3 linked regions of the Lonchura striata genome follow. The protein of the gene in region 2 interacts with the protein of the main gene of each other region in a pairwise test. Links are inferred from orthologs where the notes say so. Each region holds a gene or a part of one and is shown on either strand. Other genes may lie near its edges.

Region 1 (7,819 bases), on a different chromosome or scaffold from region 2:
AGGGGAAGGAAATCCGGGAATGGGAAAAATGGGATAGGCGGCCTTGGAGAGGGGAAATGGGATTGGGAAGGGGAAGGAAATCCGGGAATGGGAATGGGAACAGCGGGATAGGCGGCCTTGGAGGGGGAAATGGGGGTGGGAAGGGGAAGGAAATGTGGGAATGGGGATGGGAACAGCGGGATAGGCGGCCTTGGAGAGGGGAAATGGGGGTGGGAAGGGGAAGGAAATCCGGGAATGGGAATGGGAACAGCGGGATACGCGGCCTTGGAGAGGGGAAATGGGGGTGGGAAGGGGAAGGAAATCCGGGAATGGGAATGGGAACAGTGGGATACGCGGCCTTGGAGGGGGAAATGGGGGTGGGAAGGGGAAGGAAATCCGGGAATGGGAATGGGAAAAGTGGGATAGGCGGCCTTGGAGGGGGAAATGGGATTGGGAAGGGGAAGGAAATCCGGGAATGGGAAAAATGGGATAGGCGGCCTTGGAGGGGGAAATGGGGGTGGGAAGGGGAAGGAAATGTGGGAATGGGAAAAATGGGATAGGCGGCCTTGGAGGGGGAAATGGGGGTGGGAAGGGGAAGGAAATCCGGGAATGGGAATGGGGAAATTGGGGATACGCGGCCTTGGAGAGGGAAAATGGATGTGGAAGGGGAAGGAAATGTGGGAACGGCTGGGAAAATCGTGGAGAGGGAAAGTGGGTTTGGGAAGGGGAACAAAACTGGGAAAGGGATTTAGAAAATTTGGGAAGGGCAGGAAATCCAGGAATGGCAGGAAAATCAGGGATACATGGCCTTGGAGACAGAAAGTGGGTTTGGGAAAGGATTTAGGAAAACTGGGAATGCGATTTAGGAAACCGGGAAGGGGTTTAGGAAACTTGGGAACAGTCAGGAAACCTGGATCTGGGAAAGGGTTTAGGAAATCTGGGAAGGGAGAAGAAAGCTGGGAAAGGGTTTAGGAAATCTGGACCTGGGAAAGAAAGCTGGGCCTGGGAAGGGGCAGGAAATCTGGGAATGGGAAAGGGTTCAGGAAATCTGGGAATGTCTGAGGTCAGGGAGGCCCCACAATCCCAAAATTCTCCTCAAGGTCACCCCCAAATTCTCCTGGGGGTCAGGGCCAGGGAGGCCCCACAGCCCCCAAATTTTTGGGGTCACAGAGGCCCTACAACCCCCAAATTTTTGGGATCAGGGAGGCCCCACAACCCCCAAATTTTGGGGTCACAGAGGCCCTACAACCCCCAAATTTTTGGTGTCACAGAGCCCCCACAACCCCCAAATTTTTGGGTCAGGGAGGCCCCACAATCCCCAAATTTTTGGGGTCACAGAGGCCCCACAACCCCCAAATTTTTGGGGTCACAGAGGCCCCACAGCCCCCAAATTTTTGGGTCAGGGAGGCCCCACAACCCCCAAGCTTTTGGGGTCACAGAGGCCCCACAGCCCCCAAATTTTTGGGGTCACAGAGGCCCCACAGCCCCCAAATTTTTGGGTCAGGGAGGCCCCACAACCCCCAAATTTTTGGGATCAGGGAGGCCCCACAATCCCCAAATTTTTGGGGTCACAGAGGCCCTACAACCCCCAAATTTTTGGGTCAGGGAGGCCCCACAGCCCCCAAATTTTTGGGTCAGGGAGGCCCCACAACCCCCAAATTTTTGGGATCAGGGAGGCCCCACAATCCCCAAATTTTTGGGGTCACAGAGGCCCTACAACCCCCAAATTTTTGGGTCAGGGAGGCCCCACAACCCCCAAATTTTGGGGTCACAGAGGCCCTACAACCCCCAAATTTTTGGGGTTACAGAGCCCCCACAACCCCCAAATTTTTGGGATCAGGGAGGCCCCACAATCCCCAAATTTTTGGGTCAGGGAGGCCCCACAACCCCCAAGCTTTTGGGGTCACAGAGGCCCTACAACCCCCAAATTTTGGGGTCACAGAGGCCCCACAACCCCCAAATTTTGGGGTCACAGAGGCCCTACAATCCCCAAATTTTTGGGTCAGGGAGGCCCCACAACCCCCAAATTTTTGGGTCAGGGAGGCCCCACAACCCCCAAATTTTTGGGATCAGGGAGGCCCCACAACCCCCAAATTTTTGGGTCAGGGAGGCCCCACAACCCCCAAATTTTTGGGGTCACAGAGGCCCTACAACCCCCAAATTTTGGGGTCACAGAGGCCCTACAATCCCCAAATTTTTGGGTCAGGGAGGCCCCACAACCTCCAAATTTTGGGGTCAGGGAGGCCCCACAACCCCCAAATTTTTGGGTCAGGGAGGCCCTACAACCCCCAAATTTTGGGGTCACAGAGGCCCTACAACCCCCAAATTTTTGGGTCAGGGAGGCCCCACAACCCCCAAATTTTTGGGGTCACAGAGGCCCTACAACCCCCAAATTTTTGGGTCAGGGAGGCCCCACAACCCCCAAATTTTTGGGTCAGGGAGGCTCCACAACCCCCAAATTTTTGGGGTCACAGAGGCCCTACAACCCCTAAATTTTTGGGTCAGGGAGGCCCCACAACCCCCAAATTTTTGGGGTCACAGAGGCCCTACAACCCCCAAATTTTGGGATCAGGGAGGCCCCACAATCCCCAAACTTTTGGGTCAGGGAGGCCCCACAACCCCCAAATTTTGGGGTCACAGAGGCCCCACAACCCCCATATTTTGGGGTCACAGAGGCCCTACAACCCCCAAATTTTTGGGGTCACAGAGGCCCCACAATCCCCAAATTTTTGGGATCAGGGAGGCCCTACAACCCCCAAATTTTTGGGTCAGGGAGGCCCCACAACCCCCAAATTTTTGGGATCAGGGAGGCCCCACAACCCCCAAATTTTTGGGATCAGGGAGGCCCCACAGCCCCCAAATTTTGGGGTCAGGGCCGGGGAGGTCCCAGGACCCCTGAAGAGCCCAAAGGTGCCCAGAAAAGCCACCCCAACCCCGGCCAGCCCCAGCGCGCTGCCCACGGGGCGAGGAGGGATCCGTCACCTTCCAGGAGCCGCCGGATCTCCTCTGGGATCGGGGCGTCCATGGCATCCATGGGATCCTCCACGGGATCCACGGGATCCTCGGGATCCTCGGGATCGCGTCCCACCGGGGCCGCGCCGGCTCTGGGGTGACGGGGAGGAAGCCGCGAGGGCGGGGACACCCCAAAAACGAGGAGGAACCTTTGGGGTTTGGCTTCCTCCTCCTCGCCTTCAACCCCAGCGGATCCCCGGGATCCTTCCCAGCTGTCCTGGGCCATCCCAAAAATTCCGGTGGGGAAAGCTGAACTCCAGCCAAGGAGCTCCGCCTGGAATTCCCGGCTGGAATTTCCTCCCGGAGCTTCCTCGCGCTGTTCCTGCCCGAAAAATTGGGATTTTTCCAGGTTTGCCACCCCAAAAATTCCAGAGAGGAAAAGCTGAATTGGAATTCCCGGCTGGAATTTCCTCCCAGAGCTCATCTGGAGTTTCCCTGGGGCTGTTCCTGCCCCCAAAACTGGGATTTTTTCCAGGTTTGCCACCCCAAAAATTCCAATGGTGGAAAAAAGGGGATGATCTGGGATGAGATTTCCCCTTTTCCCATTTTCTGCGTGGAAAAGAGGTTGGGTTGGGAAAAAAAATCACCTGGGATAGGGAAAAGATGGAAAAACTCCTGGAAATGTGGGAGATTTCTGAAAGGAAATACTCCTGAAAACATTGAGATTTCCTCCATAAGGAAATGTGGGAAATATCCCTGGAAATTTGGAGATTTCTATGTGGAAATATGGAAAATATCCACGGAAATATGGAGATGCTCCTCCATAGGGAAATGTGGGAAATATCCCTGGAAATTCAGAAATTTCCATGTGGAAATACGGGAAAGATACTTCTAAATTTGGAAATTTCCACATGGAAATACTCCTGGAAATCCAGAGCTGCTCCTCCAGGTGCTCCCGGGTGTTTTGGGCCCTGCTTTTCCAAGAAATAAAGGAAAAAATTCAATTTCTTTTTCATTTCTCAGCACAAAGCAGACAAGGAGCAGGTGCCGGGGGGATCCCGAGTTTTTGGGGTCGGGATTTGGGGTCGTGGAGCCGAAGGAGAAACCCCAAAGCAGCTCCAGAGTCCTTTTGGGGATATTTTGGGGCCATTTTGGGTTGGGATTTGCACCTCAGCAATCCCGTTTTTCAAGGAGGGTGATTTTACGGAGAAGGGCCCACAAAAGGCAAATTTCCATGAAAATTCCCTGCTGGATTTTTTTGGATTTTGGGATTTTGGGGTTTTTTTTTCCTTTGGGGACAGAGGGAGCACCGGGGGATTCTCCAGATCTGGGACCCAAAACCTCGGAGCTGTCGCTGCCACGTCATTCCCAAACTTTCCCACCCGGCATTTCCCAACGGATTTTTTTAACCCTTTCTGTGCCGGGTGGGAAAATCAGGGTTTGCCCCTCCCCCCTGCAGCCCGGCCCAGCTTTAGCACCGAAACGGCCCCAAAAATGGAGATTTGGCAGCGGATGCTGAGGCCTCGAACACAGGAAACGCAGCCCGGGGGCCCCGAGCAGAGGTGGAAAATCCGAATATCACAGGAGCCGCTCCGCTGGCCTTTGGGGGGCCTCGAGCCTTTTTTGGGGCAAAATTTGGGTTTTTCCTTGTCAAAAGCTGCTCCTCAAATGTCCTGGCTGGGTATGGTTGGGATTTAGGAAATTCTGAGCCTTTTTTGGGGCAAAATTTGGGTTTTTCCTTGTCAAAAGCTGCTCCTCAAATGTCCTGGCTGGGTATGGTTGGGATTTAGGAAATTCTGAGCCTTTTTTGGGGCAAAATTTGGGTTTTTCCTTGTCAAAAGCTGCTCCTCAAATGTCCTGGCTGGGTATGGTTGGGATTTAGGAAATTCTGAGCCTTTTTTGGGGCAAAATTTGGGTTTTTCCTTGTCAAAAGCTGCTCCTCAAATGTCCTGGCTGGGTATGGTTGGGATTTAGGAAATTCTGAGCCTTTTTTGGGGCAAAATTTGGGTTTTTCCTTGTCAAAAGCTGCTCCTCAAATGTCCTGTCCAGGTGGGGCTCAAATTTAGGGAATTCTGAGCCTTTTCTCTGGAAAAATTTTGGATTTTTTCCCTGTCAAAAGCTGCTCCTCAAATCTCCCTGACAGGTATGGTTGGGATTTAGGGATTTAGGAGCCTTTTTTGGGAGATAATTTTGGATTTTTTCCCTGTCAAAAGCTGCTCCTCAAATCTCCCTGACAGGTATGGTTGGGATTTAAGGATTTCCAAACCTTTTTTGGGAGATAATTTTGGATTTTTTTCCCTGTCAAAAGCTGCTCCTCAAATCTCCTGGCCAGGTAGGGTCTCCTGAGGTGGGATTTAGGGAATTAAAGGCAGGAAATAAAAATAACAGAAAATAAAAATATCTCAGGTAGGGTCTCAGGGAAAGGATTTTCCCAATTTCCAAGGAAATGACCTTTTTTTTTTTTTTTCCTTCCCTCTTTTTCCTCACCACTTCAATTTTTGGATTTTGGAACGGTCACAGATTTGGCTTTGGGGTCAGCTGGGAAGGAGAGGGGGGAGCCTGGCACCGTCCTGTGCCCGCAGCATCCCAAATTTGGGGATTCCGGATTCAAAACCTCCTCCCCACGGGAGAAAATTCCCACCTGGATCCTCGCAGGGCCCGGCTGAGCCCGGCTGGCATCCTTGGGAAATGCGATTTCCCGAAAAACGGAGGCGGGATTGGGAGTAACCATGGAAACGGAGCTGGGAAAACGGAGAGGCAGAGCCCCGGTCCTGTCAGGAATGTCGGGAATATCGGGAATATTTGGGGGGAAACGGGAGAGGCAGAGCCCTGGTCCTGTTGGGAATGTCAGGAATATCGGGAATATTTGGGAAAATTGGGGGGAAAACGGGAGAGGCAGAGCCCTGGTCCTGTTGGGAATGTCAGGAATATCGGGAATATTTGGGAAAATTGGGGGGAAAATGGGAGAGGAAGAGCCCTGTTCCCACTGGGAATATTGGGAATATCGGGGGGAAAACAAGAGAAGCAGAGCCCTTTTCCTATCAGGAATATTGGGGAAAATTGGGGGGGAAATGGGAGAGGCAGAGCCCTGTTCCCACTGGGAATATTGGAGGGAAAATGGGAGAAGCAGAGCCCTGTTTCCACTGGGAATATTGGGAATATCAGGAGGAAAATGGGAGAGGCAGAGCCTTGGTCCCACTGGGAATATTGGGAATATTGGGGGGGAAATGAGAGAAGGACAGCCCTGCTCAGAATTTGGGATTGAATCCAGTGGGGAATTCCTAAAGGACAGCCCTGCTCAGGGTTTGGGATGGAATCAAACCCTGATGCCTTTTAGGATTGTTTTTCCCAACAATTGCTCCCTGCAATGGGCTGGGCTGGAATTTCCAGGGAATCTGTCCCAGAATTGTCCCAGGAATTGCCTCGGGCCAGGCTGGAATTGTCCCTGGATGGGGCTGGGTGGAATTCCAGCTCCTTCCCACCCAAACCATTCCATGGCGCTGGAATTCCGCAGCTCCTGGCCCCGGGATTGGGAAAGGCCAGGCCAGCATTCCATGGAAATTCCAGGCTGGAAAAGGGCTGGGAAAGGCCAGGCCAACGTTCTATGGAAATTCCAGACTGGAAAAGGGCTGGGAAAGGCCAGGCCAGTGTTCCATGGAAAAGTTAGAAAAGCTAGAAAAGCTGGGAAAGCTAGAAAAGCTGGGAAATATGGAAAAGCTGGGAAATATGAAAAATATGGAAAAGCTGGGACAGCTGGGAAAGCTGGGAAATATGGGGAATACAGGGAATATGGAAAATATGGATAATAAAGCTGGGAAAACTGAGAAATATGGGGAATATGGAAAATATGGATAATAAAGCTGGAAAAGCTGGGAAATACAAGGAATACGGGGAATATGGAAAATATGGATAATAAAGCTGGAAAAGCTGGGAAATACAAGGAATACGGGGAATATGGAAAATATGAATAATAAAGCTGGGAAAGCTGGGAAATACGGGGAATATGGAAAATGTGGATAATAAAGCTGGAAAAGCTGGAAAAGCTGAGGAATACAGGGAATATTGATAATAAAGCTGGGAAAGCTGGGAAAACTGGGGAATATGGAAAACATGGATAATAAAGCTGGGAAAGTGGGGAAGGCAGGGAAAGCTGAGAAATATGGGGAATATAGAAATTGTGGATAATAAAGCTGGGAAAGCTGGGAAATACAGGGAATATGGAAAATATGGATAATAAAGCTGGGAATTCCCCAGGGAATCTCTCCTCCCCTTCCCTGTGGGAGCAGGGAGAGCAGGCCCAGGCTGAGGGAATTCGGGGCAGATTTGGGGTTCTGACTCCAAATTCCCAAATTTTGGCCTCATCCCGCCGGAAAAATCCCAATCCTGAGCCCAGGAGGGCGTTCCCAAATCTCCAAAAAAAAATAAACCTGGCTCAAAGAAAACCCCGATTTTGTGGGAGGTGAAATCTTTATTCCCACGGAATTTCTGCTCCGTGCCTCCTGACAGGAAAAAATTCCTGCCGGGAGGAGCTTCCCATGGGAATTTTTGGGGTTTGGGTGATCGCTGGGGTCGGAGTTTCCGGCGGGGAATATTCCGTGATGCCGGGAGGGTTTTGTTAAAAGCAAAGCCTGGTTCCACTTTCCGGGCCCGACTCCTCAAAACGCATGGAAAGGGCGTCAAAAATCGGAATTTTGGAGGGATAAGAGCGGGAAGCAGAAATCTGGGATTTGGGATGTTCAGGATTCCCTCAGAACCAGGCCTGGCCGGTGGAAAAGTGGGGAGAATTCCCTCTGAATTCCATAAAAATCCGAAATTCCTGGATTTTGAGCTGCATTCCCGGCCAGGGAAGATGAAAAGCCGTCCCTGGAGCCCAGCAGAATTCCATCGG
Region 2 (7,332 bases):
AGTTGGGAAGGGTTGATTTGCTTAGACATAGTTTCCTAAAGAGTTGAGTTTCAAGTAAGGCATAAAGGCAATACAGAACAGGGTTTGAAACAGTCTGTGAGAACTTGGGCAAGGAGGAGGGGAAAAGAGAAGAGAGGATTTAATCCCCTTTCAGGGGAGTGACCTCTCGCTCTCTCCCCTCATCTCTGAAAAATTCAATCCAGCTCAAATCAGCCAACACCACCCAGGTCCAGAGCTCTCCAGCTACGTACTTCCCCTGCTCTGGAGAATGATATGGCATGTGGGGCCCTACAACAGAACTATTAAATTCCCATCAAGGGGTAAGCAAGTGGTTGCCATATGCTAAACCACTCAAAGGAAAAATAACCAGGGAAAGAAGCACAGCCAGGCAGCAAGTCTGCAGACAGGGTCTTACCTGCTAGATAAACTAGCAAAGTCTCCTCCATCTAGCAGCCTGATTTTGCAGAACAGAACCCCATTGACAAAGGGGACAGCAGTCAGCTCTTCTAGAGTAAAACTTGTCTGAAACTTGAATTTCTTCTTCTTCATCAGGAAAGCCATGGGCAAATTCAGCGAGGAAAGCTCAGGAATTCCAAACAAGATCAGGGAGAAGTGGCTCACAGCACAAACAGACAAGCAGAGGAAGGGCAGTCGTTCTGGGAGCACAGGCAGGGAGTAAATTCCAGTTCAGTTACGACGACGGCCCAGCTTCAAACGCACGATTCTCTTCTCTTTGGTGGTCGGATCTGGCTGTGGGATCATCGCCACGGCAGGCTTCAGGTGAGCAGGAAGAGGTCAGATTAAATCTCTGCAACATCTCCGAGGGAAACGGGAGGGAGGGAAGTTGGGTCTCAGCTCCAGACCAGCAGGAGCTGTCCCAGTTAGAGGCTGCAGTGCTCTGTCTTCAGCACAACCCCTCCTGAAAGCATCTCTTGTGAGAAGTCATCTCGAGTCCCTGGAGAGGCCTTAAGTCTGCAGGCAGCACATTCAAAGAGCTTCCAGTCTCTATCTCTTGTGCAACTCTGATACGGGTCTTTGGGTCAGCCTTTGGGAGGGAAATGAGTAAATTAGTTCCAGCCAGTCTTGGGCTCCTCCTCCTGCTCTAAAACCTGTTTGGATAGGTAATATTCAGTCCAGACTCATTCCAGTCTGAAGAGGTATGGCCCCAATTAGCCCAGCCCCAACATCCTCTTTCCCCTTTTTGCCTAGGGCAAGCTTCACTGTTGTCATTCCCCTTGTAATTTCTGTTTTGCAAAGCAGCTAATAAAAATTTGCTCTATTTTCAGTCATCATATTTAGAAGCAGTCTACAGCGCAAGATCATTCTAACACACAGTCTAATAAGAGGAAGGAAAATCCATCTCAAGAAATTAAAGATATGTTTCTGTCCTGCGTTTCCAACCAGCCCTAAGTGTTAGCACCTGTATCTTATAAATGGAGAAAGCAGCAGAGAGGGAAAAAAACAAGCAGCCTGCTCCAGATTACACAGCATAACAACCGAATCAGGTCATCTGGCTGTCCAATGGCCAGTCCCACCGGGAATGCTGCCTTCCCCCGGCACCGGCTCTGCACAGAGCTGTGCCCTGCTCGGTTCAGATCTGGGGCTGCAGACAGCGATTTCGTTACACATTTACAAAACACCTAAACCACGGAGGCAGGAGCTGATTAGCATCTCAAAAGGACAAGGTTATGAACACCGGGCAGTAAACAATCCCCACCGATTCTAGGAGCTGCCTGTGTGGGTGATTAAAGACCCTCTCCTGCCCGGTGGCTGCAGGAGAACCCGGCTGGCTCTGCCAGGGCCCGGGCACCTCCACGGGGTTCTGCTGTCCTGCAGACACCTCGGAGCAGAGTGGGGGACGACAGGTCAATGCTCCACACCACGAGTAGTACCTGTCCCTGTGCCGAGCTGCTGCCAGGGCTCAGCCTTGGCTACTGTGAGGTCACAGCCTGTCCCCTGGCACTCCAGGGTCATGCACTGAATGGTATTGAGGACCCAGCTCCCTGCCCGAGCTGGGCACTGAGCTGTGCCCAGGTCCCAGCCGAGCACTGAGCTGTGCCCAGGTCCCAGCCGAGCACTGAGCTGTGCCCAGGTCCCAGCTCTCTGTCCAGGCTGTGCACTGAGCTGTGCCCAGGTCCCAGCTCTCTGTCCCAGCCGAGCACTGAGCTGTGCCCAGGTCCCAGCCGGGCACTGAGCTGTGCCCAGGTCCCAGCTCTCTGTCCAGGCTGTGCACTGAGCTGTGCCCAGGTCCCAGCTCTCTGTCCCAGCCGGGCACTGAGCTGTGCCCAGGTCCCAGCCGGGCACTGAGCTGTGCCCAGGTCCCAGCCGGGCACTGAGCTGTGCCCAGGTCCCAGCCGGGCACTGAGCTGTGCCCAGGTCCCAGCTCTCTGTCCAGGCTGTGCACTGAGCTGTGCCCAGGTCCCAGCTCTCTGTCCAGGCTGTGCACTGAGCTCTGCCCAGGTCCCAGCCGGGCACGGAGCTGTGCCCAGGTCCCAGCCGGGCACTGAGCTCTGCCCAGGTCCCAGCTCTCTGTCCAAGCTGTGCACTGAGCTGTGCCGAGATCTTAGTCCACCTCTTGGCCCTCTGAACCCCCGGCTGCCCCGCAGCCCAGCCCCAGGGACCAAGCACCGAGCCATGCCCGGGCCGCAGCCCAGCTCCGGCCCCACAGCCCGCGCACCGAGCTGCAGCCGGGCTCAGCACTCTCCCAGCCCGTGCACCGAGCTGCAGCGCGATCTCACCCCTCTCCCGGCCCCCCATCACCAGCTGCCTTACGGAAGGTCTCAGCCCGCTTCCCAGCGCCCTCCACTGACCTGCGGCGCGGTCCCGGCGCGGTGCCTGCCCGGCCCTGCCCGCTCCTCCAGCCCGCTCCTCGCACGGCGGCCGCCGCTCCCCGACACGGCCGCCTCTGCCCGCACTACGCCAACTGCGGCCGCTACGCCGATAGCGCAGCCGGTACGTGGGCAGCGCGCGGGGAGAGCGGCGCTGCCGCGCTTCGGGAATACCGACAGCGCGTAACACCCGCCCTCCCCCGAGACGAGAAAACGCGAGCGGCGCCGTCCGATTGGATAGCAGCAAGGAGGCGGGCTGAGCGGTGCGAGGCAGTGATTGGTTGATCCTGCACGGGGCGGGGAAGAGAGCGCGGGGATTGGAGGAGAGAGCTGTCGGTTTGGACAAGCCCCGCCCCCTGGCTGAGGGGCTGGGCGGGAAGCGGGGTCAGCGGTGTCCCCTCAGCGGGACTCGGGCCGCTGGGCTTGGAGCCCCTCTGCAGGCTGAGCTGGTCCAGCTGGCACGGGAGCTGAGCGGATGGTAGGGGCCTGCCGCTGGGGTGTCCCTGCCTGGGCAGAGGTGATGGCAGTCATCTCTAACGTGAGACATACGGAGTGGGTCCAGTGGAGGGCAACAAGGATGTCTGGGGAATTGGTGCATCTCTGCTGTGAGAAAAGGCTGAGGAAGGTGGGCCTGTTTAGCCTCAAGAAGAGATAACTGAGAGGGGACTTCATTAATGTGTTTAAATACCTAAAGTGGAGTGCCAAGGGGATGAAGTTAGGCTCAGGTCAGTGGTGCCAATCACAAGGACAACAGGCAATAGGCAGAAAGCAATGCCCAGGAAGTTTTACCTGAACATAAGGAAGAACTTCTTTCCTGTGCAGTGACTGCTCACTGGCCCAGAGAGGTTGTGGAGTCTCCCTCACTGAGAATATTCCAGAACTGTCTGGATACAATCCTGTGCCATGTGGGCTGGGATGACCCTACTTGAGCAGGGAGACAGAGCCAGATGACCCACTGCGGACCCTTTCAACCTGACCCATTCTGTGGTTTGGTGACAGATGTCACCTCTGCATCCTCCTGACAGCCAGGAGCTCTTCCCCTGGCTTGTCCCAGTGCCCCAGCAGCTCTGGGTGACATCCCTCTCATCAGCATGTCCCATGGGCTGCAGGCGTATGGTTCCTCAGGCCGCTCAGCGGTGTGGCCATCCTGTCCCCTCAGGATACCGCAGAGGCTGTGGGTCGGGCCAGCAGTGCCTGGGCTGCCTGGGAGCAGGAGCGAGGCCCTGGTACCACAGAGCCCTGGGGAGCAGCACGAGGCAGGGCCCAGAGCTGGAATCTCACCCTCCACATGTGAGATGTGGCAGGCAGTGGGGCACATCCCTTTATCAGCACGGCTCCCTGTTATTATGTGCTGCTGCTGTGTCCAGTGCTGCGGCTGGGATCCCTGGTTAGTCTGGATTCCATTGTTTAAGGGCAAGCAGAACAAAATGTCTCTCCTTGTCCTGAAGGAGGCTGCAATCATCAACGTGATTTGCCTAGATTTAAAACTTAGGCGTTTGCCCAAGAGCCTCTGTGGCTGAGAAGTTGAGGCTCATAAGGAGGAACTGTTCCCAAGGCTGATATGCAAAGCTTGGATGAAAGCCTGAGAGTCCTTGCTCTCTGCCAGGCTTTGATGCCCAGACTCCTTGCCTGTAATCTGCCGTCTTATGCAGACAATATCAGAGCTATCAAATAATTCCACCACAATGTGAACCTTGGGAAGAAAAAAAAAAAAAAAAAGAGTCTGCTAGGAAAAGTACACAGAAATGTTCTTGGATAAAAGTGAAAAATTGGATCTAACCAAATGCATTGTTACGATTTTTGCTTACCAGGTTAAGCTGACACAGACTTTGGACTGGGAAAACATTTTGTATTAGTACAGTGAAATCATCACAGGACATACAGGGAGTCACCAGGAAACAGCAAGGTTTATAGGCTGCTCTTGCAGGTGAGGCTTGAATCCTTCCATAAATTCCTATCTGGTGTTTTCAAGGCTTTGAGGCACTGCTGGAGATGGGCTGGCATTTTTTGATTTCTGTTTCCAGCCTATTAGGAAAGAGCCTGCTAAATATTTGATATTTACAAAATATGATGCTGAAATACCAGAGGCATCTGAAGAATCCAGGCCAGTTCTCACACCTCCCATGCCCCAGCACATGGCTGACAGGGCTGACAGACATGTGAATGCTCTGCTTCCATCCCTAGGTAAAGGACAAACGATCCCTGTGTGTGTGTGGGAGGAGACTCTGTTATCTGCTATGATTCACTCTGGTAAATAACCTTCTCGAGGACTTCTCTTGTTTATAGCAACAGCCTCAAATGCTAAAGTTTACAGACACTTTAATCCTTGCTGTTCTCACGCATATTTACTTTGCAGTTTTATCAGAAACATCTCTTGAAAACCTCAGTGTTTTTATAATTAATTGAATAATGTGACTGATGTTAAAAATAAATGGATTTGGAAGAATGCCCAGTGAGCTGCTGAGCAGTGTGTAGTATAGCAACCGTAGCTGCATTCTCAGGGGTATGTGTATTTTCCTAACAAACGCAGTCTCATGACTGAGAGATTAAATCTTTATTAGTTCGAAATTCACCCTGTTGATTTTGCTGTGTTTATGCTGCATAATTGTTTCTGGAGAAATTCACATGTTTAAACGGGACAGTGCTCCTGTTTACAGAAGGGATGGGTTAGTCCCAGCCTCCCACAGAGGGAATGTGGGTGTAGGGTGTCTTCATCCATCCACCATCCCTCTGGCTTGATATTATTTTCTGCTCAGGTGCAATCCGCTGGCCATGGCGGGGAGAGGGGGCTATGTGTGTTAACAAGGTACTTTGATAGATATGGATTCTGCTCATCCCAGACTCACATCCTATGGATTTCTCTATGGCTGTGCCCACCTCACCTCTGCTCCATGAGCCTCAGCCACATCCCTGCCCTGTGCTCTTCCTGACCTAAGCCTTTCCTGAGGCCGCTCCCCAGTGCCGCCACCACTTCCTCAACTTTTGCTGGCTCAGGGCACTGTCTTATCAGTCTGGGATATTTTTATCAGTCTGTGCTCTGCAGTTACGTTTGGGCCTCACCTCTGCTCTCCTGGAGAGGTGTGCCCGGCTGGCCAGGGCTACGACTGCTGTGCTCTGAGAGTCAGCACCAACAGAGATGCCTTGTCTTGCCTCCTCTCTGCTTTGAGGACAGAGATAAAGCAGCAGTGGAGAAACAAGGTGAGATAAATGCAGGAGGGACAAAACTCAGTGAGGTGAAGTGAGGTAGATCCTATAATGCATTTGGTGAGCCTTCAAATCCTATCTCTTATCCCAGGGGAATCCCAGATGCACAAGCCCTGCAAACTACATCATCAGCATCTTCCTCTGGAAAGCATCATCACGCCAATTCATTTGTCCTGGCAGCCAAATGATTAAAGTTTTAAAAGTAAATTACACATGTTGCTGTAACAGCATAAACACAGTAATGGTTCTCCCCTGTTACACCTGTCGCCTCTGCTGTAATGGCCTTAATGAGCTTTCAGCCTCATCATCCAAAAAAAAAGGAGATTACCACACGTCACTTTATGCTGTAAATGCATTCTTGGAGCTGTGAGTGGGATGCAAGTGGGATGCTCCAAGGAGCAGAGGGTGGGTGCCTTCCCCAGGACCCGGGGCAGGTCCTGGCTGGGGAGCTCCCAAAATGGGGCAGGGGGTGCAGACACCACAGCAGCTGTAGCGTGCAGGCAGCTGGAAACCCTGTGAGGGGAATGGGTACCTATCCCCATTGCATAGGATTATCCCATGGTGTGGAGTTACTCTAAGCTTGTGACTTCTCAGCTTAATAACAGGCTGTGAGCTGCACTTTGACCTGCTTGTGTTTTTCACTTGTTCCATATTTAACTGAACTCATCATCATAAAGGCCAGGAACTGTTTCACTTTCTGTGCCAGGCTGGGTTTCCTGTTGGATGTGCAAAGGACACACCTGCACGGTGGGTTTCTGGCCTGCCAGCACTGGGAATTCTGTTACTGATAAAAGGGAGCCCAGGAATCTGGAGTCGGTGGATTCCATTCCCCAAAAATGTTGCTAGACCTGAAAATCCAGCTGCCTGGCTTTTTTTGTTTACTGGTTTCCATGCCTGCTTCAGTGTGTTCTGGGAATGTGCAGCAGAACTCTCTGCTTCATTCTGTGAGGTCTGTGGGTGGAACTGGATCTTGTTTGCCCCTTCCAAAATCTGCAGACTTGAAATCTGCTTTGCCTCAAGGCTTGTTGTGTTTATCAAGCTTTATCCTGTGTCTGTATCCCAGCTTCCATCCCATCAGTGTTGTGCTGGACAAGAGAATTGCTGGTTGTGGCCGTGGTCTGTCCCACTGACTGCAACCCACAAATGCTGCTGTTACCCCAAATACATCAGAAGCAACTGTAAGTCTGTGGTTCCTCCTTGACACAGCAACCTTTAATTTGGAATTTCAGGTGACAGAGGTGAAAGAAACTGTCCCTGCTGGCGCTGGGATTCTGCCTCGGGTTAATCACCTACGCATCTG
Region 3 (7,592 bases), on a different chromosome or scaffold from region 2:
TCCATGAGTGGCAGCAGAATGAGGGAGCTTGAGGAGCTGCATCCTAGCAAACACAACCTGGAGCTTGAGCATTCCCAGTGGTGGCATCCAGTGGTGACATTCTCTGGGAAGCCACAGACACAGTGGCTCCACTTGCCTCGTGTATTAATAAAAACAAAACCTAAATTTTTAGGGCTTCAGAGTTTCTAATTTCTTCCCAAAGAGCCCCAGACGCAGCCAGGGCTCCACTCAGGAGCTTTGGAAAGAGGCAAGCACTTTAACTGCTTGCATTAAAGGTCCTTCCACGCTCCTCAGGGTGAGGAAAAATGGCAAAAGAGATGTTCCAGCTGGGCTGAGATAAAAGGCAAAGGCCTTGGTCGGCTCCTCAGGGGAGGTTTGGGTGTCAGGGAAATGCCTTACTCTTTGCAATCTCAGCTTCTCCTTCTCTGCTGAACTTCTGTGGAATTTCTGAGGTACCTGGAATTACAAAATGCAAGTTTTAGAGGAGATCCTGCTCCTGCCTTCCCAGCCTGAGTGACACCGGGCCGCTCCTGCAGATCACAGCCAGTCACTCCAAATTCCCCCAGAGCAGGGAATGAGGACAAAACTTGGGAATTTCCAATCTCCCCATTCCCATCCCAGGGCTCCTGCTCCCATGAACAAACCCCTCAGGTCCCCTCAGCAAGGGAACACCACGTGCACAGCACCCAGGGGAGCTGCTCTGAACCACAGGGGACATTTCAATATGGCAAACTCGCTTCCTTCCAGCTAAAATTGGGTTTGTTTGGGTTTTTTTTTTTCTTGGCCTCCACCTATCTTGCTGTGATATTTAGTATTTAGCTGTAATTTTATGAATACAAGGAGTGTTTTCCACATTTTTACAATTTCTTCTTGCCATCACAGTCCACTTGATCTTCCACCAGGAACAGCTCACTGACCCTAAATTCCAAACAGGGCACACTTCCCGTTTTTCTTTTATTTATGGGGGAAAGAAAAAGGTGGTTTATGCTTAAGATCATTGCTCATAGACTGGTTAAAGATTGTCAATATTTCAGCACACTGTGACTTGATTGACTGGATCCCCCCCTCCTCCTCCTGCCATTCACAGCATCACATTGTGAAATTGTGATTAACAGGCTAACACAGCCCAACTGCTTTATTTTCTATATTTAGCTGCCATAAAACAGGAGTTCTGTCAAGTGAGGGCTTCAGCTCCTCAGAGCTGCTTCCTCCCAGGAAAACAAACCTGCCAGGACTCGCAGCTGCACAGCTTGGGGTGCAGCCCCTCATTTTGGGGAGCAGCAGACGAGCAAATCCAGCCCCACTGGCAGTACTGGGTTACACCAAGATTGCTTTTTGTTGTTCTGCTACACTGGAAATACTTCATGCCTGCTTGAGTCTGTTTATTTTAGGGGTGGAAGACTGAGAGTTTTCAGAGAGGAAGAATTGATCGCTTGACTTGATAGACACAACGAAAGGACTGGGAGAACCATCCCCGTGGTGGTGCTGCTGCTCTTGGAAGCTTCTCTGTCCAAACTGCCCCAAAAATCAGAGTGTTTGGGGGCCTCCTGCTGAAGCAGAGCTGCTAAACTGAAACTCAGGTGAACAAAAACCCCCTCATCCAGAGGTTTTTCATAGAATCAGAATGCTTTGGGTTGGGAGGGCCCTTAGAGCCCATCCATGGGGCATTTCCACTGTGCCAGGCTGCTCCAATCCCCACCCAGCCTGGCCTTGGGCACTGCCAGGGATGAGGCAGGGCAGCTGCTCTGGGAAATCTGTGCCAGGGCTTTTCCATGGCAGCTGCAGGAAATTCAGAGCTGGAAAAAACATCTGCACTGGCTGTGCTGGGGGAACATCCTCACAGGAATCCCAGCAGCTCGGAGGGGGATGAAACAGAGCTTGGGAAAAAACACCTAAAGTACAAAACTGCTGCTCCCAAAACACCAAGTGTCAAGTGGGTATTCCATTAAAGAAATGTAAATCCAGCAGCAGCCAGAAGCAGAGAGAATCAAACCCTTGAGCTGCAGGATTTAAAGACTCCAAAGGGCAACAAATCAGTAATCAACCACCACCACCTTCCCAACGCTCCTCACTGCCCCACTCAACCTCCTCCCCACAATCCCAGCAACCCAAACGTTGCACCACAGCAACTTGCACCCCAAACCAGAGCAGACCAACCTTCCTGGCAGGTGTGGAGGCAGCCAGAGGAATGCTGCTGCCCTTGGTCTGTGCCAGGAGCTCGGGGGAGCTCCCGGAGCTCAGTGAGGAGTTGGTCAGTCCCGAGTCTCCCTCGTGGGACGACTCTAGGGCCTCGCTCTCCGAGGCGGTGCTGCCATCCAGAGAGGCCACCTGGGGGGATTTCAGGCTCATGATGTCCTCCAGCAGCACCACGGGCACCTTCCCCTCAAAAAGCACATCCTTCAGTTCACCTGGAGTGCCCTTCCTGCCTGCCACGTCCTTGCAGGCCGTGAGGCCGGAGCAGGGCTGGCTCCCAGCTCCCAAATCCTGCTCTGCCTTGGCTGCAGCTGCGCAGGGCCCCTCAGTCTGCGTGGAGTCACCTGTTGGGCTGCTCTGCGAGGAGCTCAGGCAGCTCAGCTCCTTTCCTATGGTGCCATTGCTGACAGCAGCTCTAGAATCCACAGCCTCCTGCTCCGTGCCATCCCCGAGTCCGTGGGCAGAGCCCTTGGAGAGGTCAGGAACATCCCCGGGGTCACTCGTGTCACCTCCTGGGTTTTTCTGGATAAAATGGTCCAATGGACCTTTTCCATTCATGAGTTTTGGAGGCAAATTCCCATCTGAGCTCAGCTGGCAGTCATTCTCCACATCGTCCAGGGAGGCACCTGAGGCATCCAGGGAGGGATCCTTGCTGGGAACAAAAGCACTCGGGGAGCTCTTGACTTTTTTGACCTCTGGATTCACATCGAGTTTTTCCTTTGGCACAGGATTGAGGCGCTTGAAGGGCAGCCGAGCTGCAACAACAACACCAGGTTAGAGCCACGAGGTGACAAAGGGTTTCATTCATTTTTAAGAATAAGACTGAGATAAGCCACTTAGAGATGCTTTAATCACAGCCAAGCCAATCCCAAAACAATCCCATAAAACCCATTTGTGCAGCCAATGTATTCCACAAAATCACATCTGAGATGTTCTTGCTAAAACCGTGCTGGATGAGAGACACTCCCTTACCTTGGACGAGCTTCCGTGGAGGAACAGCAGCTTTGTCTCTGCACTCCATGGCTACGGGAGAAAACAACAAATCAGCACCCGGGGCTTTCTCTGAGACAGCTGAGGCCGAGCCCAGCAGCTCTCCCAGGGCCGGCGAGGGAGGACAAAGGGGTCCCACTGTCACCCCCGAGCCACCAGCTCCCAGCAGCCGCAGCCTCCTCCTGGCTGGGCAGAGCAGGAACGTCCCCAGGAGGCCCCGAGGAGAAGCGAGGAGGAAATTCCTCCCTGTGAGGGCGGCCAGGCCCTGGCACAGCGAGCCCAGAGCAGCTGCGGCTGCCCCTGGCAGTGCCCAGGGCCAGGCTGCATCACCCCGGCGCAGCACACAGCGTCCCTACCCACGGCAGGACGAGCTTTCGGATCCCTCCCCACCCAAACCGGTCCGTGACTCCCCGAGCGAGGCTGCGGGGCGGGCCGGGGCCCAGCCCCGGGGCGCGGCGGCAGCTCCGGCACCTCCTTTGTTACCCGGGGCAGGCCCCGCGCACCCCCGCGGCCCAACCGCCGCCGGAAACACCTCGCGCCCCGGCCGCGCCGCGCCCCGCGGGCTGCGCCCTACCTGCGGCGGCGGCCGGCGCGGCTGGCGGCGGTGCCGGCCGGCCCGTGAGGCGGCGCGGCCCGCGCAGCGCCCGCGGCTCCGGGCCCGGTCCCGCCCGGCCCGTCCCGCTCGTACTTGGCGGGAGCCGGGGCGACCCCGCGTCCCGCGCCGCTGATTGGCGGAGCGCGCCCCACGTGACCCGCCCGGCCACGCTCCCCCGCGGCGCCTCGCCTCTCGGTTGGTCGCCGCCGTCAGCGCCGCTGATTGGCGGAGGGGGGTGTCGGTCCGGCGCGCTGCGGGCGCTGATTGGGCGGTTTTGTAAAGGGCCGGCGGGGCGCCGCTGGGTGCCGGGGCTGGGCCCGAGGGATGCCCGCTCACCGGGCGGGAACGGCGCTGCGGCGGGCCGGTCCCGGGCCGGAGGAGCCTGTCCGCAGCACCGGGAGGAGAGGGTGGAGCCAGCACTGCCGCCCCTCGCGCTACTACGGGCATCGAGCCACCGCGCGAAATGGCGGCGGGACCAGCGGCCAATAAGCGCGCCGCTGTCGCGAGGGATGCTGGGAGCTGTAGTTTTCCATTTGGAGCTCTGTCGCCCCATTACTATAGCGGGGGTCCCGGCACCGCCGTCCCCGTGCGGCGCACCCGGTCCGCTCCCGGCGGGCGGTGCTTCGTCCGTCACGAGAAATCCACGGCTGCGCCACCGCCGTTCCCCGCCACGAGCGCCCGTCGCGCGTGTCGCGACAGAACGGCTCTCTCGGCTCCGCCCGGCCGGCAGGGGGCGCGCCGGCCCCGCGCGGCGCTCCGGCCGCGCCGCTCGCTGGTGGCGGCGGCCGGGGGCGGCGGCGGAAGCGGCGGCGGGGACGGGCCGGGCCGGGCTGGGACGGGCGGAGCGTCCTGAGGCTCCCGAGGCTCCCGCCGCCCCCAGCGCCAGGTCCCGCCGCCCGCAGACCGGGCCAGGCACCGGCACCGGCACCATGTCGGTGGCGGGGCTGAAGAAGCAGTTCTACAAAGCGACCCAGGTGAGACACCGGCACCGCGCGCCCGCTCCCGCCGCCGCTGCGCTGCGGCCGGGCCGATCATCCCTTACCGGTCCGGAGAACCCATCCCGGCCGCTGCTGCCCCGGCGCTGCGCGCTCCCCGCCGTTATCCCGGTGCTGGTCCCGCCGGGCATCCCCCGGTACCCGCCGGTGCCCAGCCTGGCACCCCCCGGGATCCCGGGCTCGTACCTCCCGGTTCTCGGTGTGATCCCGGGGCTCGGTGCGGGCCGTGAGCGGAGCCGGGACCCCCGGGCGGGGCTCGGTGCGGGGAGCCGTTCTCCCGGTGGCACCGGGGAGGGGACACGGGCAGGGAATCGGCTTCGCGGCGGTGACACCTGGGGGTCACTGGGGGTGTTTCCCCCTCCCCAAAACCCGCCCGCACAACCGGGACGGATCCAGCCTTAAACCGGCCGGGAGAGGCGGAGGAAGCGCCGGGAGCAGCGGCCCCGGTAACCCCGGTAACCCCGGCGGCGGCCTCGGGAAGCTCCCGGTTCCTGCAGAGCGGCTGGAGCGGGAGGGAAAAGGGCTGGGAAAAGCTCCAGAGGTTCGGGAATCGCAGCCAGGCTCGAGGAGTTGGTGCGGTGCCCTTGGAGCTCAGCCCTGGGAGCGCCCAGCGCCGGGCTTGGAGCAGCCCCGGACGGAGGAATGGGATTTTCCATCAGCTGCTCCACAATTCCATAATTCCGTGTGGGAACGGGCCTCCAAGAGGCTTCACAAACTCCTTTTTCCTCCCTCAGAGGAAGCAATGGCCATTCCCAAGCCTCCCCAGCAGAATTCTCCTTCCCACCGCCTCCCGTCCGCCGCTGGGAGGTTTTGTGGATGCGTTTTGGGAAGGGTTCAGGAATCGCAAATTCCCCCTCTGCTCCTGCTGCTTTCCTGCCCCTGCTTTCAATTCCAGATAAATTTGGCACGGATGGTGTTTTCCATCGCTGAGCTTAAACCCTTTCAGTTCATCCCACCCCTGTGTGCGACATGTGTCGCCTCCTTCCTCGGCTCCGTTTCCCCAAATCCGTTTTATTTACCCAGCAAAGCAAAAAGAACAAATTCCTGAGGTCATCCTCCACCCTCCTTTCCCACTGAACCCGTCGTGGGGTGGTTTTTATGCTGTTTTTCCTCAACTTCCACGGGGAAAGGTCATGCTGGGGACTGGGAGTGGGAGGATTTTGCTGGCCTGGATGTGCTGTGGTGGCGTCAGGAGGTGATTCAGGACTAACACGTTCCTAAGCCCCAAAATATCATTTTAAGCCCCAGATGAAACCATTTTTTGGAGGAATTACAAATTCTTCCAGAGGTGCTACCACCCCTTGCAGTGTCCACGACTTAGAAATGCTCTGGCTGGAAACTGGGAGTCACTGGTTCCAGTTTGGCCATTTTTTCTTGTCTCTTCCTCCCTTCCTTCTCTTTTCCCCCCTTTCTCCCCTCTGGTCCCACTCAGCCCTTGGCTGAAGGAGGGGAGGATTAGTTATTTTTTGGCTCCCTTCAAACCATCAGACTCTGCCAAAGCCCAACATGTGGAAGATCTTTCCTAAAATATTACGTTTTGTTCCACGTCTGTCCTTCATTGAAGGCAATCAGAGCCAGGAGTGGGGTCTGCAGGGACCCCAAAGATTTGGGATCCCTGTTTAGGATCCAGAGGGAGCAGGGCTTGGCTCGTGGGCCCCATCCATGTGATTTTTCCAAGCCCACGTCTCCCCTGGGTGAGGCAGCCCACATGCAGGAGAGAGCTTGGAGTATCCTGGAAAAAAAAAAAAATAAAATAATCTGAGTCGTGCTGGCAAATGGTGGAGATGGGGAACAGCTCTGAGTGTGTCCAGAACAGGTTCTGCCTGTTCACAGCAAACTGTTCCCTAAAAAAAAAATAAAAAAAAAAAATAAAGAAAGCTGGAGAAAACATCCTGAGGAAGGGGGAGAAACAGCAGCAGCAGCTTGGAGCTGGGAACAGGGTGGGAAGTCCCTGCCTGGTCCAGGGTTTCATCCAGCCTGGAATTCACAGGGACCTCCTGGTGTTGTAACAGCTTGGTTTGCACCCTTTGGGTTTTGTACAAACTGCTGGAAATCCTAAAATCCTGCAGATCTTCCCAGGCAGTGGGCAGGACAGGCTGCTGCTCCGGGGGGGATCCTGAGGGAATCTGGGGGTGCCAGCAGCAGGGCTGGAGGGAGGAAACGGCCTCAGTGAGGCTGAAATCTGATATTAAAGCAAATTTTTTCCATGGAAAAGGTGCTCAGGCATTGGAACAGGCTGCCCAATGGAGTCGCCATCCCTGAAGTGTTCAAAAACCAGGTGGATGTGGCACTTGGGGACACGGTGGTGAACCTGGGCTGGACTCAGTGGCCCTAAAGCTCTTTTCCAAGCTCACCCATTCCACAATTCCACATCCCAGCCCTGCCTGGGTCACGCTCAGCCAGCAGCAGGAACAGCCCAGGAGCTTTTTGGGGTCAGGGGAGTGCAGGGATGGGATTGTGCTGCCCTTCCCAGGAGGTTTTGGGGTCAGGAAATGCAGGGATGGGTTTGTGCTGCCCTTCCCAGGAGGTTTTTGGGGTCAGGGGAGTGCAGGGATGGGTTTGTGCTGCCCTTCCCAGGAGTTTTTGGGGTCAGGAAATGCAGGGATGGATTTGTGCTGCCCTTCCCAGAGCCCAGGAGCTTTTTGGGGTCAGGAAATGCAGGGATGGGTTTGTGCTGCCCTTCCCAGGAGGTTTTTGGGGTCAGGAAATGCAGGGATGGGTTTGTGCTGCCCTTCCCAGAGCCCAGGAGCTTTTTGGGGTCAGGAAATGCAGGGATGGGTTTGTGCTGCCCTTCCCAGGAGGTTTTTGGGGTCAGGAAA

Evidence for each region.
Region 1: the proteins of EEIG1 (region 2) and SKAP1 interact in binary tests that used the Homo sapiens proteins (3 or more experiments, as listed by UniProt). The two-hybrid records come from large-scale screens. The link is inferred for Lonchura striata from reciprocal best matches to the Homo sapiens genes EEIG1 and SKAP1.
Region 3: the proteins of EEIG1 (region 2) and SH3GL1 interact in binary tests that used the Homo sapiens proteins (3 or more experiments, as listed by UniProt). The two-hybrid records come from large-scale screens. The link is inferred for Lonchura striata from reciprocal best matches to the Homo sapiens genes EEIG1 and SH3GL1.

The regions. Positions count from the first base shown.
Region 1 is NC_134627.1:8,231,902-8,239,720, reverse strand, and holds the start of SKAP1 (src kinase-associated phosphoprotein 1), read right to left. Parts: upstream 3,005-7,819; coding exon 2,962-3,004; intron 1-2,961. UniProt on the Homo sapiens protein: Positively regulates T-cell receptor signaling by enhancing the MAP kinase pathway. Required for optimal conjugation between T-cells and antigen-presenting cells by promoting the clustering of integrin ITGAL on the surface of T-cells.
Region 2 is NC_134624.1:777,449-784,780, forward strand, and holds the start of EEIG1 (early estrogen-induced gene 1 protein), read right to left. Parts: upstream 3,003-7,332; 5' UTR 2,811-3,002; intron 1,110-2,810; 5' UTR 562-1,109; coding exon 416-561; intron 1-415. UniProt on the Homo sapiens protein: Key component of TNFSF11/RANKL- and TNF-induced osteoclastogenesis pathways, thereby mediates bone resorption in pathological bone loss conditions.
Region 3 is NC_134630.1:6,027,675-6,035,266, forward strand, and holds the start of SH3GL1 (endophilin-A2), read left to right. Parts: upstream 1-4,588; 5' UTR 4,589-4,707; coding exon 4,708-4,752; intron 4,753-4,820; exon of another isoform or gene 4,821-4,832; intron 4,833-7,592. Other genes in the region: CHAF1A (chromatin assembly factor 1 subunit A), read right to left, coding at 400-456, 2,158-2,948, 3,166-3,214. UniProt on the Homo sapiens protein: Implicated in endocytosis. May recruit other proteins to membranes with high curvature.